Struthio camelus: one gene and its partner. The protein of the gene in region 1 interacts with the protein of each later gene in a biochemical or structural test. Links are inferred from orthologs where the notes say so. Each region holds a gene or a part of one and is shown on either strand. Other genes may lie near its edges.

Evidence for each region. The genes of interacting proteins can lie anywhere in the genome.
Region 2: the proteins of NOTCH1 (region 1) and USP10 form a complex in vitro, tested with the Homo sapiens proteins (2 studies listed by BioGRID, with this or other methods). The link is inferred for Struthio camelus from reciprocal best matches to the Homo sapiens genes NOTCH1 and USP10.

The regions. Positions count from the first base shown.
Region 1 is NC_090961.1:3,758,908-3,765,815, forward strand, and holds the start of NOTCH1 (neurogenic locus notch homolog protein 1), read right to left. Parts: upstream 3,064-6,908; 5' UTR 2,883-3,063; coding exon 2,825-2,882; intron 1,296-2,824; coding exon 1,214-1,295; intron 1-1,213. UniProt on the Homo sapiens protein: Functions as a receptor for membrane-bound ligands Jagged-1 (JAG1), Jagged-2 (JAG2) and Delta-1 (DLL1) to regulate cell-fate determination.
Region 2 is NC_090951.1:4,542,685-4,550,228, forward strand, and holds the start of USP10 (ubiquitin carboxyl-terminal hydrolase 10), read right to left. Parts: upstream 3,071-7,544; 5' UTR 2,878-3,070; coding exon 2,857-2,877; intron 1-2,856. UniProt on the Homo sapiens protein: Hydrolase that can remove conjugated ubiquitin from target proteins such as p53/TP53, RPS2/us5, RPS3/us3, RPS10/eS10, BECN1, SNX3 and CFTR.

The DNA.
Region 1 (6,908 bases):
CTCTTTGAATGAAAGAAAACAAGATTTAGAGCGTCAAGCGTTGGTAAGGGCTTCTGTGCAAAAAAAAGTGGCGTGCATTCATTAGTAGCTCACAAAGGGACCCAGCCTTTGTCCATTAAATTGCTCATGTGCCTGATTGATTTGCTGATTTATTTTCACCAAAGGGTTGGGGGGCTCAGCTTGGAGGAAAGGGGTGGGAGGTGCCCAGCTACTGGGTAGAGTAACGGCGCCCAGGCAGATTTGCAAAAAGCAACACACATTGTCAAGGAAAACTGCCATTCAACAGGTTGGGATTGGAAATGCCTTCAGGTTTCTCCCCAGAGAGAACTTCCTATTTGGAAGTTTGGGGTGGGTGGGAACGTTTCCCTGCCTGCTCTCAGCTTAGGGCACGTTTAACAGGCGGAGGGGAAATCTGGCCGGAAAACAGAGTCTTGCCCATTCAGATCTCTTTTATGGAATAGTTTTAAAAAGGGAGCTGGAGTCTTATTCATTTCTCTCGGTTATTGTTCCCTGGGAGCCTGGAGTGAATCGGCCATCGCTGCGGTGGGTCGGATGGTCCTTCAAAGAGTCCCAACATTTTACACATCCGTTTCCCCACAATCAGCTTGGAGAAAGCTCCTTCATGTGTGCCAGATCCTGCAAGAAGGGCTCGATCCTCAGCTTGGCACCAGCTTCAGCAGAGTTACAGGGAGAAGGTGGCCCTGCTTTCCTGCCTTTCCGATGGCCCACCCAGAGCACAGCCCCAGGCTGCGCCGTGCAAGAAATGACCCCTGAAACGTGTATGGAGATGTCCCGAGAACTGTGCAATGGACTAAGAAATGCTGGGGTGCAAGGGACCAAAAGGCAGCACTTCGAGGTAGAAGGGAGCTGGGCCCGGAGTAACTCGGAGACAGACCACCTCCTTCCCCTTCCCGCCGTCCAACGAGCACCGCAGGCCGGGGCCTCGCTTCTGCTCCATCAGCATCAGCAGGGCAGTCTGGATAAGTAACACCAGCAAAACGTGGCCCTTTGCCCATGTTTTTCCACCCAGCCAGGAACAAAGCCCAATCCTGCCCAACTTGTGGCGACTCCTACACAAGCAGGTTATTCTTGCCACTCAAGGAATGAAAATGCATCTTGCCCTATTAAATCCAGAGCCTTCAAAGCAAAGTCAACATGCACGTCAATACTTCGGTCTAGGGAGATGAAAACCCTCTGGCTCCTCCATACTTACTGGCACACCTCAGTCCCGTTGAGGAAAGTTTCACACTTGCCCCCGTTGAGGCAGGATTCGGCAAGCTGCGTACACCGTAAACCTGCAAAGAGGAGGAGAGCGTTAGCCACAGGGCAGGCACCGGGCAGCACGAGGGGGAGGCTGCTGGGCCCCCTCGCGTCGGGGCTGCCGGGCGCCCCTCGCTCCGCCAGGGCAGGGCGAGCCCGGGAGCGAAGGTGACCTGCCGCCGCCAGCAGCACCCGCCGAAGCCTGGTGGCCACCGTGGTGAAAAGCAGGACCCGGCGGCTGCTCTCCAGGCAGAGCAGGGCTGCAGAGGCAGGCAGCAACCGCGCGGCCCCAGCTCCCAGCAGGGAAAGGCTCGCCTAAAAATAAACTCGTGGTGGGTTTTGAGACTAGGACTCTGCCTTCTCGGTACCCTCCCCAGGGGCCAACAGGAGGACTGACAGAGAAGAAAAAAAACAGGTCAGGCCCTTGAGTGACAAATGCCATTTGGGAAAAAACCATACACCCGAGGGCCCGTGAGTTATCACTAACTCGGTAACGAAATGAGTCGCTCGTCACAACTTACTGTGAGTAAAGGTTTCAATGTCTGGCCCTCAGAGCCAAATTCTGCACAGTTACCACAGCAACTCACTGAAAGTACCAGAATCGCTTCCGATTTCTACCAAAGCTCGCTCTTCCCCTTCTCTTCCTCCGCGAGCATTTCACGGCAACCGGTTCTGTGACACTGCTGCGCAGCCGGAGCACTTTCAGACCGCAGCAATTTCAGCTTCGCACCCCGCCAGCCAAGACCCAAACTTCTCCCCGAAGGGCTGCCGAGCCCCACGCGTCTCCGGCGCGGGGTCCAGCCCGGGTCCCCTCGCGGGGTCTCGCCGGGGGCTGCTCCGACCCCGCACCTTTCCCTGCGGACTGCGCCTCTGCGGGGCCGGGGCCCCCGTCCGGGCCGCCCCGGTGCGGAGCCGGGCGACACCGGCCCCGCTGCTCCCCCTCCCCGGGAGGCTCCCGCAACACCCGGCTCCGGCCGAAGCCCCTCGCCCGGGACCCGGGGACACGGCAGGGCCCCGGGGCTCTCGCCATTTGTAGGGTCCTTGTCCCCGGGCCCGGCGAGCCGTCCCCCAAGGTCCCCCCGCAGTTTGCGGCGAGGCACTCGGAGCCGCCCCGGGTGCTGGGGGCGGCGAAGGGGACCGGCGAGGCAGCCAGGTGACTTTCAAGAAACAGGAAACCGAGCAAAAAAAATTTGCAAAACGGCCGAAAGCTCTCGCGGAACAACAGCGGGGAGCGCTGCTCGGCGCCCCGCGCACCCCCCCGCCCGCCGCGCACCTCCGCCGGGGCGCCCAGCCCGGGTCCCCCCCCCGCCCGGTGCCGCTCCAGCTCCGCTCCCCGCGGGACAACCGAGCGCGGAGCCCCGTCGCGGCGCGTCCGGCCGCGGCTCCCCGCGGGGCGGCAGCCGCTCTCCCGCCGCCGCCGCTCCTCCTCCTCCTCCTCCTCCCGCGCTCGCTGCAAACTTCCTCCCGGCGGAGCCCCGAGCCGCCCCGCGCCGCCGAGCCCCGCCGTGCCGAGCCCGCTCCGGTGGGCGGCAGCGGGGCCCGGCGCGTCCCGGCGGCCCCTCACCTCGCGTCAGGGCGGGCAGCAGCGCCAGCAGGAGACCGGGCACCAGGAGCCGCTGCATCCCTGCTCTCGGGGCTCCTGCCCGCTCACAGCCGCATAGATCCGCGGGGCACCGGCCGGCCGTGCCGAGCCGGGCCGTGCCGAGCCGTGCCCGGTGCGCGCCGCCCCGCCGGGAGCCCCAGACACACCGCGCCCCAGCGCCCAGAGCGCAGCGACTCCAGCGCCCGGCGCCTCCCGCGGCTGCTCTGCCCCGGCGGGCCGGGCCGGGCCGGGCGAGGGAGGGCGGGACGGCGCGGGGCGGGACGGCTCGGCACGGCACGGGACGGCCCGGCCCCGCCCGCGCCCGCCTGGCGGGGAGGGGGGGGGGGGAGTCCTCCCGGGGCAGCCCCCCCCCCCCAATGCAGCCCCCGCACAGCCGCGGGGCGCCCCCAGTGCAGCCCTGCACACCCCCAGTGCAGCCCACCCATGCAGCCCCCCCCCGCAGCCCTTGCACAGCGCCAGTGCAGCTCCCCCCCCCGTCCCCAGCCCCAGTGCAGCCCCCCCATGCAGCCCCTGCACAACACCAGTGCAGCCCCCCCGCCCCGTCCCCAGCCCCAGCGCAGCCCACTCATGCAGCTCCCGTGGAGTCCTCGTGCAGCCCTAGTGCAGCCCCCTAACAGCCCCTACACGCCTCCAGTGCAGCCCCCCACGCACGCCTTGCACAGTCCCAGCGCAGCCCTAGGACACCCCCAGTAGACCTGCCCACCAGCCCCATATAACCCCAGTGCCGCCCGCCCGCACCCCTCGCACAGTCCCGGGGCAGCCCCACGGCAGTCCCTGCACAGGCCCTTGCTCAAGGCTGGTACAGGCCCTGCAGAGCCCCACACATCCTCCCCCAGTTCAGCCCCTCAGCCCACAGCAGCCTGGCACCAGCCGTGGGGCACAGACCCGGCGGGCTGCAGCGCCTGCTCCGTGCGCCGTGCACATGGGGCTGGGGGGGCTCCGCACCCCTGCTTGCTCTGGGGGACCAGGACGGGGCTGAGCATCTCCTCCCGGGGCCCTGGGCCAGGGCGAGCCGGGCACCCCGCAGTGCGGGGTCGGGCTCTCCCAGTGCCCGGGGTGCCCCCTCCGCCCCGGCATCGTGGCTTTCGCCGAGGCAGGTGTTCACAGATACGCCAAGCCACTTCCTAGCAGCCATTAACATACCTGCACGCACGGTTACGCGCACAGCTTGGGGATGATGTTGTTTATTTTGCGCCGTGAACTAATGAACTTGCAGGCAAAGCCTTGGCCAGCCCGACGCGCTGCATCAACAAATAAACAAACAGATGAGCAGAGGCAGGGAAGCCAAACCTCGGAGGCAGCCCCAGCAACCCCCAGGCGCGCGCAGGCTTCCTGCGCGGCCAGCGCCGCGTGCTGGCCCCCGCGGCCTCTCCCCGGCCTCCCCAGACCCCTGCCCGATGGTGGCGGTGCTGGCGGCGGGTCCCCGGGACCTGGTCCCCCGCCGGGCGCCGCGCGCGGGAACGGCACGAGGCGAACGCCCCCGCTGCGGGCGTGCTGGCGGGGCCCGGTTCGTCCCGAGCACCCCAGCGCGGCCCGAGCCGTTCCCGCTCCATCACGGCACTTAACAAATTGAAACCATATTGCCGTTAACTTTAGCAACCCGAGCGCAGACTTAAGCGTTTAAACTCCTGTTTGCATATGTTACCCGAGGGCTACGCTTATAGGGGGGTTTCCTTGCTGGCGGGGCGTTGTACCAGCCGTGGAGCAACACCGGCGGAAACAGCCGGTGTGGGGGTGCTAATGACAACTGCTTCCTCGCGGGGTTACCGCGGGGTCAGCTCGCCGGCTCGCGGCGAGCCTTGCCGGGAGGCCGTTGCCCCGCTGAGCGCCGCAGTGGCCTGTTGGCAATGCCGGGAAAGCTGCCGCGCAGCAGGCGCAAGGGCGGAAAACCCAGGGGCGAGAGCTTGGAGCACAGACAATTTGGGGTGCTAACTCCCACGGGCAACACGGCACCTAAATGCCATGGGGCTCCTGGCTCTCCTTGGACCCTCATCACAGCGGGGGACCCTGGGAAAGGCCATCAGCAGCGCCGTGCGGGAGCCGCCGCCGCCGCCGCCTCCCTCCCCAGGCGAGACGCTGGCAGCTTGCCGCAGGCCCCCAGGTGCGGCAGCGCCCTGGGACCCTGCTGATTAAGCCGTGGCTATTCTGGGCCGTCAAATGGCTCTTTTACAGCTCCCGGTTATACCGTCAAACGCGGGCCGGGGCGGGGGGGCGCGGGGCCAGCTGGCCTGCGTTTGGTGCAAAGCATGGGAAAAAGAAAGAGAAGAGACGGGGCCCGCAAAGGGTTAATGAGAGGGAGGTGACACCGTCATCTGTGTCTCTCATCACAGGGCACCTCTCCCCGCGGCCCGGGGGCTCATCCCGGCCCCTGTCCCGGCCCATGCCAGGCCTGGTGTTATCCCGCTGCTTCCTGTTGTAAATTATTTCCAGAGCAAGTGTGAAACAATTAAACAAACCGAAGGGCAGAGTCTGTTCGCTAGATCAAAGGAACGAGCCCTACAGCGCTATTGCTCTGCCGCCGCGCTTTGCCCTCGCTCTCCTCGCCGCTCGCGCCGGCGCCCGAACGCGGGCCGGGGGCCGGGGCTCCGCGCGGTGCCGCTCCACGCTGGCCGTCCGAGCCGCGCTACGAAACTCGTAAGCGGCGCGGAGACACGCTGCTTGCTGTGCTGCCTCCCTGCAAAGCCGGGGCAAGGGCCGGGCCGTCAGCCGGCCCCACGGAGCCTTTGGAGAGCAAGTAACAGAGGCAACAGGAGCCAAGGGTTTGGCCTCGGCGCCCCTCTAGGCTGGGGGCCGGGGCGTCTCCGCCGGGGCGCAGCCACGAAGCCGGTGCCGGCGGCCGGGCGCTGCCCCGCTCTGCTCGGCCGGCGACGTGCCCGCGTCGCCCTCGCTCTGCAGCGCCGCCGGCTCGGGGCTGCCGCCTCCTGCAGCCCCCGCCGCAGGAGGAAAAACCTGACGCTCCCACCGCTCTGGTTTATTGGGCGATAAAAGATTTCTGCTCCCTTCCCCTCCGTCTTCACCCCTTTCCTTTTGCACGCTGCAGCCCAGCTAGCAGGGAGCATCTCTGCTCTACCCGCCTGGAAATGCCTGCGCTGCCTTTGCCCGGGCTTGTTCCCCGCGCGCAGAAAGCACCGCGCGCTCGGCCTAGCCGCGCTCGGGCGCTTCTTCCCCCGGCTCGAGCGCTGCCCAGGCCCGGCGGGGCCGGCTGTGCCCGCTGCCTGCCCGCCGACGGAGCGGGCCCGAAGCGCGGCGGGATGCTCCGCGCCGTATCGGTGCCCGCGGAGGCAGCGGGAGCCTCGGCCATGGTGCCCTTCCGGGGGAAAAAAAAACCCCTCTCTGGTCTCTCCAGGTGCTGCGGGGGGGCACGAGCGTCTCGGCACGAGGATGACGCCTCCCGCGAGCCGGCGCCGCCGCGGGAGCCCTTTTCCAAGGGGCCTATCTGCCGGTGGGCGCGTCTTCGCGGGGACCCTTCCTTCTTCCACACCCGCCCCGCACATGCTGCTGCCGCCAGCTCAAAGGCAAAAGAAAAAAAAGGAGCGGGAAGCAAAAGGCAGCGGACAGCATAAATCTTTTTTCAATAAGCGGTAAATAGGACATAACTCCAGAGAAACTTTTCATTTTGAGTGGTCTTTGGGGGTTAAAAATCATGGGATTTTAGGTACTTTTAAAAATAGCGTTCGTAAGAACGCTTCTAATAGAAACCTTGGCACACGTCCATGTGATTAGTGATTTAAAAACATAAAACCTCCACACATGTTTAAAAGTTTTAATAAGTTGAAATTAAATGAGTGAAACTCTGGGAATATTTTTTTGTTACTGCAAGCTAAGAAAATTATGTCCGTTAAGCAAAACTTAGTACAAATATAAACAGGTAATGCACATCTGTAAATTATTTTCATGTCTCCAGGGGCTGGAAAAAAACCTAAGTGAGACCAGCATTCTTATATATATTTTGCCTTGACAGCTCAGGAAAAAATTTGCCAAAAACCAGAGTTAGAGCACTGGGCTGGCGTGGGAAAGTTGGTTTAGTGAGAAATTTGCCCCAGGC
Region 2 (7,544 bases), on another chromosome or scaffold:
TCAATTTGAAACCAGACTAAGGGTTAAAGAACAAAACAAGCATAAGTGATTCTGTCTGCTTTGGTATCCTTTCTTCTGTTTAACTTGTTTTCAGAAGATTTACAAATGAAGTGTTTGCAGTAATTCATTCCATTAAAAAGGATAAGAAAGTGACTGAAACAACTGTTCATAAGGTTCCTACAGAGCACTACTATTTCCAAACAGGGAAATATTCGTTAAATCTTCCTTTTTTTTTAAAGAAGGATTTTTAAATGTCCTCTTCGAAAAATGGTTTTAATTATATTCAGTGTCAAATCAGCTCAATATCTGTATTGTCATACAGAACCAGCAGTGATACAACAGGTTTACTTTCAGCTTGTCTTAATAAAAATGATCTTACAGATTTTAAATATCCTCAGAACACACCCAGAAGACTGAGAGCAACACTTAAGAATCTGATTAAATGATTATGAAATACCTGCATGGAATACAGAGGTACAAATGACCAGCATATCTAAACTGTATTAAAATATGCTGGTGTGCCTTCTGAATAGCTGCCATCTAAAATGAATCCTCCTTTCAAAATATCCAATATGGTCATGTTTCACGATTCACTTGTGAAGAGTACGCAGGCTGATTTATAGAATACTTCTGCATACCACTACATGAATCCGTTAATTGGCAGAAGCCTGATGGCACATTTTATAATATTTAGAAGAGCAGGATGTTCTAGAAGACATTTCTCCCCCATGTGACAAAGTTTGCCATAACTGAGACATTTTAAATACTTTTGCCTAGGACTCCACATTATGACATGAACACAATGACTAAGTAATGTTATTTAGCTTTGTGCTTAGAATGTATGACTTTTATCAAAATTCTCTCTCAAACTTTTCTACCAATCTTCAATACTGTCATCTTAAAATTAAAAGGAAACACCTACATGCAAAACTACCTCCCTAAACTCATCTTCATGTCCTCCATCCAAAAAAGTACACAATACTGTTACCTTACTCCAGCATTACTGCACCGTGTTGCTCTAGAATATGTGCTCACATAAATATGAAGCAGCATTTACATCAACTGTTTATAATACATTAGAAAAAAAAAGCACAAGGGGTTGTGTTTAATGACATGAAGACTGCATTAGCTGAAAAATACCATACAGATTCGTTTCCTCAATTATACATAAATTTAAGCAGCAACCCTCCAGACTTAAATATCTGCTTTACTTACAGAGTAGTTTGATCTACACTACAGTACTGACAGCAAGTAACTACAAAGGACCAGACCCAAAGATTTTCACTTGACAAAAAATCAGAACTAGAGGAAGAAAAAAGATGAATCTATAGTCTATTTTTAATTATGACTGCAGTGTTTCAACATTAAGTTGCTGTACTTTTTATTAAGTTCAGACACAAAAATGCCCTTTATTGTTCTAAATCAATAAAAAAAGTTGTAATGAAAAACCTACAGTCTTATCAAACTGACTACGTGCACTGCTGTCTAGTATTTTGCTGTCTAGTATTCAAGAGGAGGATAACGCAGAGTGAAACAGCTTCTAAGTTGGACACTGAATCTCCTCCACACTCCTTTTGATATACGCTGCATTCTAATTACCATTCATTAGGTAAGTCAATCAATGTACTAGAACCAGAGTGAGATTCCTCCACTTTGAAAGAAAAGTTTAAGAACACAAAGTTTTATCATCACAGCCGTGCACACTAAAGTTTAAAAAACTCCAAAAACTGTAACTGTCCTCAAGACACATATATCAAAATACAAGAGCTCTTAAAAAAAATCCTTGATAATAAATACCATGATAGTTTTTACCAACTTTAAACTTTGCTGTAAAGAAAAAACACAGTCAGTACCACTAGTGTACAGTTTTAACACAGATGGGTACCTTAGTCAGCCTTCAGGAAAAAAAAAAAAAAACAGAGGATAATATAGCATAATGTTAGAAAAACTTAAAAAATTTATGAAAGACTTTTTCCAAAAAAGTAGTATACTGTTCTTTAGTAAAATTATACTTAACATGCTTTAAGTTTTCTGAACTCCCTTACTCGCAGAAAGGAAAGTTTTACAAAGTTTTGCAAATGCACACCCCAGTACAGCACTTATAATTGCCAGAAATTTTTGCTTTAAAGTCTTTCTTGGGGGGAGGAGGGGGAACACCCTTACAAAAAGAAAACAGCAAACTTGATCCATTCAACCATTTGCTTTATGCATAAACTAGATTAGACCCAAGACTCGAGCTTTCAGCTTCCAGTAAAAAGCTACCTGGGCTGCAGATTTTGTTATTCCATGCATAATCCTTCTGGTCGGTTTGGTCAGTGGGAGAGGGGGGAATTGCACGCCCATCCCCACGCATAACGACCTCGCAGCGCTCAGTCCTTTGCACCCCAATGCATCGAGGTTCAGGGGGCGGGAGGGAGAAGTGGTGAGGGGGAGGATTAACTTACTAATCCCCTTATTTCTTTCCCGTTGTAGACTCTCCCCCATCGCTCCCTCTCCCCTACCCCCCAAAAGCCCGACCTACTGAGTAGCTCCCAACCCCCCCCCCCCTTGCAACGGCGCGGATGGGGGAACAGCACCGCCTGCATCCCGCACAGGGCACCAGCGCCTCCTCCGCGCCTTCGCCGCCCCGCGGCGGCTCAGCGGAGCGCCCAGGCCAGGCCCCCCCGGCCGGGCCCCGCGGCCGCCGCGCCCCCCACCCCGGCGGGATTCAATGAGGCTGCAGAATCACCCGGGGCCTAGTCCCGGCCACCACGCTCCCCTCCTCCGACGAGCCGCGCCGCGGAGCCCGGCCGCCCCTCCGAGCCGGATAGGACCCCCCGCGGCTCCCCGGCCCGGCAGCGCGGCGACGGCGCCTACCTGGGCGCTATTTACAGCCATGGCGCCCCGCCTCAGTGGGGAGCTCGGCGTCTCCCAGGCGCCTCACGCTGCTGCCCCCGCCGCCGCCATCTTCTCTCTCGCACGCACCAGCCGGGCGGGCAGGCGGCAAGCACTGCGCCTGCGCACAGCGCCGCCGGGGAGGGGAGGGGAGGGGCGGCGCGCCTTTGCGCCTGCGCGTCGGCCGGGCGGTAGGGGCGGGAGGCGGCGGTGCCAGCGGCGCGCAGGCGCAGTAGCGGCCGAGCCGGGGGCGGGGCGGCCCGAGGAAGGGGCCCGGCGGCGGGGGGTGGCGGGAGCTGCGGGTGGGGCCGCTCTCCGCCGGGGGCGGGAAAAGGGGGTTGGGGGGGGGGGGGGAGAAACCAGGCAGCTCGGGGGGTCCCGGCGGCGCGAAGGAGGGCGAGGCAGCCAAAAAAACTTCACCTCCGGCCCCAGGCATCCCTCGGGGTCGGCCACGAGGCGAGCGGCCATCGCCCGCCAGCGGCGCGCGGGGCTGCCTCAGAGCGGTGCGGGCCCGGGCGCCGTGAGGCGGCGCCGCCCCCGCCGAGCGCAGCGGGGCGGCTTCGCCCGGGGAAGGGAGGGGGGATGCGGCCGGCCCTCCGGGTGGGCCCTGTGCGGAGGGGCACAGGGCTTTTCGGGTTTTTAGGGACACGCAGGCTTCGGCTGGGTTTCAGCTCGTGCTTCCTCGAGGCGGCGGGCCGCGCGTTGCGGAGTTGGAAAGCCTCAGACGCCAGCAGGCCTTGGCCCCGAGTAACGAGAGCGATAAGGGATTAGGCATTTGTATTTGGAAAACAAACAAGCAAACAACAAAGAAAAAAGTGACTAAGCCAATATTATGCTTTTGAGAGGACTGAGTCACAACTGCCTGCTTGTAAGCTCCCATCCCCGGGCAAGAAGCCATTAAACTAATCGCTAATTTACTCCGCCTTTTTTTCCCCCTCTTAAAAAACTACTAGATCCCACAAAAGACCGCTTCAGCTGCGGAGCAAGTGGTATAAAAAGCTTAACTTTACTATGAAAGTTGAAGAGAAGAAATAACGTGCTCCCCAGGAACTCTGTGATTGTGGCTTCTGAGAGAGAAGGTTCACTGAAGATGGAAAGCAGACTTCACCTGCCTTATTTTTTGATAAAGACATTTCCCTCTTATAAGTGCAACGCTTAATGTGTGCTCATGACAGTAATGGGAAGAAACTACAGTAGATGATTTTCTGTATCTGTTTCTGTCATTTCAGTTGACACACCCTGCTCCGCTCCCTTTCTTTTTGTTCTAGCAAGCGTTGTTGCTCTTCTGTCCTAAGGCAGAGAACCAGCAGTGAAAATAGCTGTTTAGTATTTAAAGGGGGTGGGGGGAAAGAAAGAGGGAGACATGCATGGGGATTTTACGTGAAGCACTTCCTACATCTGAAACCCCCTCTGCCCACAGGAGTCTAATTTACAAGGTAAATAATGGAGTAAAAACCCTTACAGAGCTCGTCTGGCTGAAGGCAAAATTCCCTTCTGCCCACAATCCTGCTTAAGTAAACTGACTGTGTTTGCTGGAAAGGTTGCCCCTGCAAATGGCTGAAAATACAAATGAGCAGAGTGCTTTCCACCTGAAAACAGGTTAATTCAAGGACCAATATTGTTCAAAGCTGGAGCAGACTGGCCAGAATTAGGGTGTGGGCAGAGAGGATGCAACTGTTGAGCAAAATTAATAACACCTTCAATTTTATCCTGCCTTAATACAGTTTCATTGTAATGTCTGTTAAATTTTTACCACAATATCTTGTAATACTGTAAGTTATGTAAGTTTGATCATAATAGAATCCTTTGAAGGAACTTTTACCTGCCGGAAAGTTTCCTCCTCAGTTCTATCTTACCATTCATTTTTGCCATTTCTGGTGGTGTGTCATTGTATTACTCGTCACTGCATTGCTCAAATCAGCTTTACTTTTTTTCTATCCTTTATGTCAGTGGCCAGGTACTCACAAACAATATGTTGCCTTTCAGACTTTAAAAAATAGTGGTTGTCTATTTTGCTTTCTGTGTATCCACGTTCTTAAGGGAGAGTAAAGGGAGAGTAAAATAATGTTAACTCACAACATGTGACCACTTAAATACTTTGTATTTTGATTAACAGCAGTGGAGGGTCACATCTTTGGGAATCAGAAAGACTTGTTTTACATTAGCCAGCGAGCTGAATAAAATACTCCAAATCAGTTGCCGCCCAATAACAACTACGGTAATTGTTCTTACTCTGCTATAAATGCAAAAAGCTTGGGAATAGCTTATCCTACAATATCATACTCCTCATGACCTTGCTACAGCATAAAACTGACCCAGGGGTTAAGGGTTTGTACATTTGAGGTTCCTGAACTGAAGCAACTGATGGGCCGCTTTGATCTGCTCTTTCAGGGACAGAAACGAGTATTTTCCTGTAGTGCTGCAAGACCTGGTTGATCACTGTGGAAGGTTTATCAATGTCTATGCAGAGCTTCTTCACAGTGCTAGGAGCTTTAGAAGACTTTTATTCTGGTAGTTTCTACGTACAATAAGGGCTTTGCTGTTTCTCCAGTCATTTTGGTAATGGAATTCAACTGGGAGGAAAAAGCCCAGTCAACGCTATACTGTGCGTTGGGGGCACCCAGACACAAAAAGCTAAGGTGGCTGCTGCGCGTTTAGAGAACATTCAGAAAGAGATTATTTATTTAAAGCAGCAGGAGACTAAGGGAGCATAGTGATACTCTATGCCCACAGTAGCACCAAAATAGTGTTAGGAAGGAAGCTCTTTTCATTTCCCTCATAAAATACTTATCAGAAGCAGTCATCTCCCCTGCTTGGACCTCAGACAGGAGCTTCTGATGGCGGTTCAGTTGGCTTCTTGTATTTCAAGTTCTTAACCAGCCTACTCTTAAGTCGATATCAACAGAGATGTCATTGGCAGAATCTGTAAAACACAGCCGTGACAGTCCCTCTCCAACGTGTCCACAGAGACCCTATGAACTTTGCCAGAGGTAAATCTAGCTACCTTACAGTGGCCACAGGCATACAAAAGGAATTATATGAAGTACCTGGGACAGAAAGGACAGAACTTGCTGCTGATGGAGGTCCTTCCTACTGCTAATGGCTATAATAAAAAATTTGGACAACCCAGATGAAGCTCTTTTCCTTTCTTTGTAGAGCTTGCGTAGGTCTTTGTTGTCAAACCTCTTTTTCAGATAGATGTCTGTGCTTAGATGTTCTGAATAGCATTCTGCTGGATATTCAGTCCTGAGGCTTTCCCAATAAATCTTAATCCAAAACCTCGTACTTCAGAGGTTTACCTGATTACTGAAACATGCTTGCTGAGTAGTCATAAATTTGTGAACTTTCTGTGACCTGAAATTGCACAGGTTAGCAACAGGCATCCCTGTGTTTAGAAAGAGAAGCCGAGATAGCACCAGGGCAAGAAAAGCTATACAAGGAGAAGCAATCAGCAAAGTAGTACAGGACACCAATAGGAGGTGTTTTATTCTGGAAAGCACTCGAGCAAACTGGGCTCCAAACTCCTCCTTCTTAAACTTTCTGATAATTTGTAACAAATATACTTAATCTGTTGATGCAAGGAACTTAAACGTGAAATAGTTCAAGTGAGCCTGAAAGAAATTTCAAGTCTAGACAAGCCCTTAGTAGATCGTGTGGCTGCTTGACTCAATATATTCTGTTTCAGTTATCTATGCAGACCTTTTGGCTGAATTATTTGTATCTCATCCTTCCCTGTCTTAAGTATGAGCCTTCTCTCTTCTCATGCAATGCAGTCTATTTTAGAGCTGCAGTTTCAAAAGAACCTTTATCTCACCTCTAAATTCTTTCCATTCACCATTTTGTTACTCATCGCTGAAACCGTCATGATAAAAACACAACTACATTTTTGTTCCCAAAGCTGTAGTGAGTCCCAGCAAGAGCCCATGCAATGCTGTAACATGGATTTGGTATCAACAAACCCACGCCTGGGCTGTGTGTCTGTCATCCATCTGATAGTGCATCAGCAGGGAGAAGGAACCTGCGTAGCTGGGACTTTGCCTTGTGCATGCTCTACCTTGCACAGGATGGCAACAGTGCATCTCCAACTGGACGGGGGATGCACCTGCCTTATGTGGTCTGAAAGACAGCTCAAAAACAGAGCTTGTAAAGGTTTAATTAGCTTTTCACTCATTAAAACCATAGGAACAGAATAATTTGGAATGGTCAGAAGGTCATTCTTAATTTCAGTTTCCACTCCATCTTCTTTCCTGCTAAAACTGCTCACATAAAGGGTTTTTATCAAAAGGACTAAGTGCAGCCACGTTTAACAGGTTAAAAGAAAAAGAAGTCAGCAATCCTGAGGTCCGTTTCTATCTTTGTGACTATCAGCCGTGTAAAAACTACGTCCCGTTTTCCACTTGTCGTCTGATGTAAGGATGACACTATCTACTTGCTGAAGTGTTCTAAGTCTATAAATTCTGCTGGATGAAGAGAGCTGAACTATTACAAGAAACTGAAATAAAATGATAAAAAAAAAAAAAAAAGCAAAGCTTTCCATTTGTTACGCTTCCCTTTTTTCGATAGAAACTTCTGACTGGTCAGAGGTTCCTTAAGACATATCAGCAACCTAAGAATCACAACTAGAATCTCGACTTTTTTCTGCAAGTTAAACTGCTTCTCAGAAAAGGTAC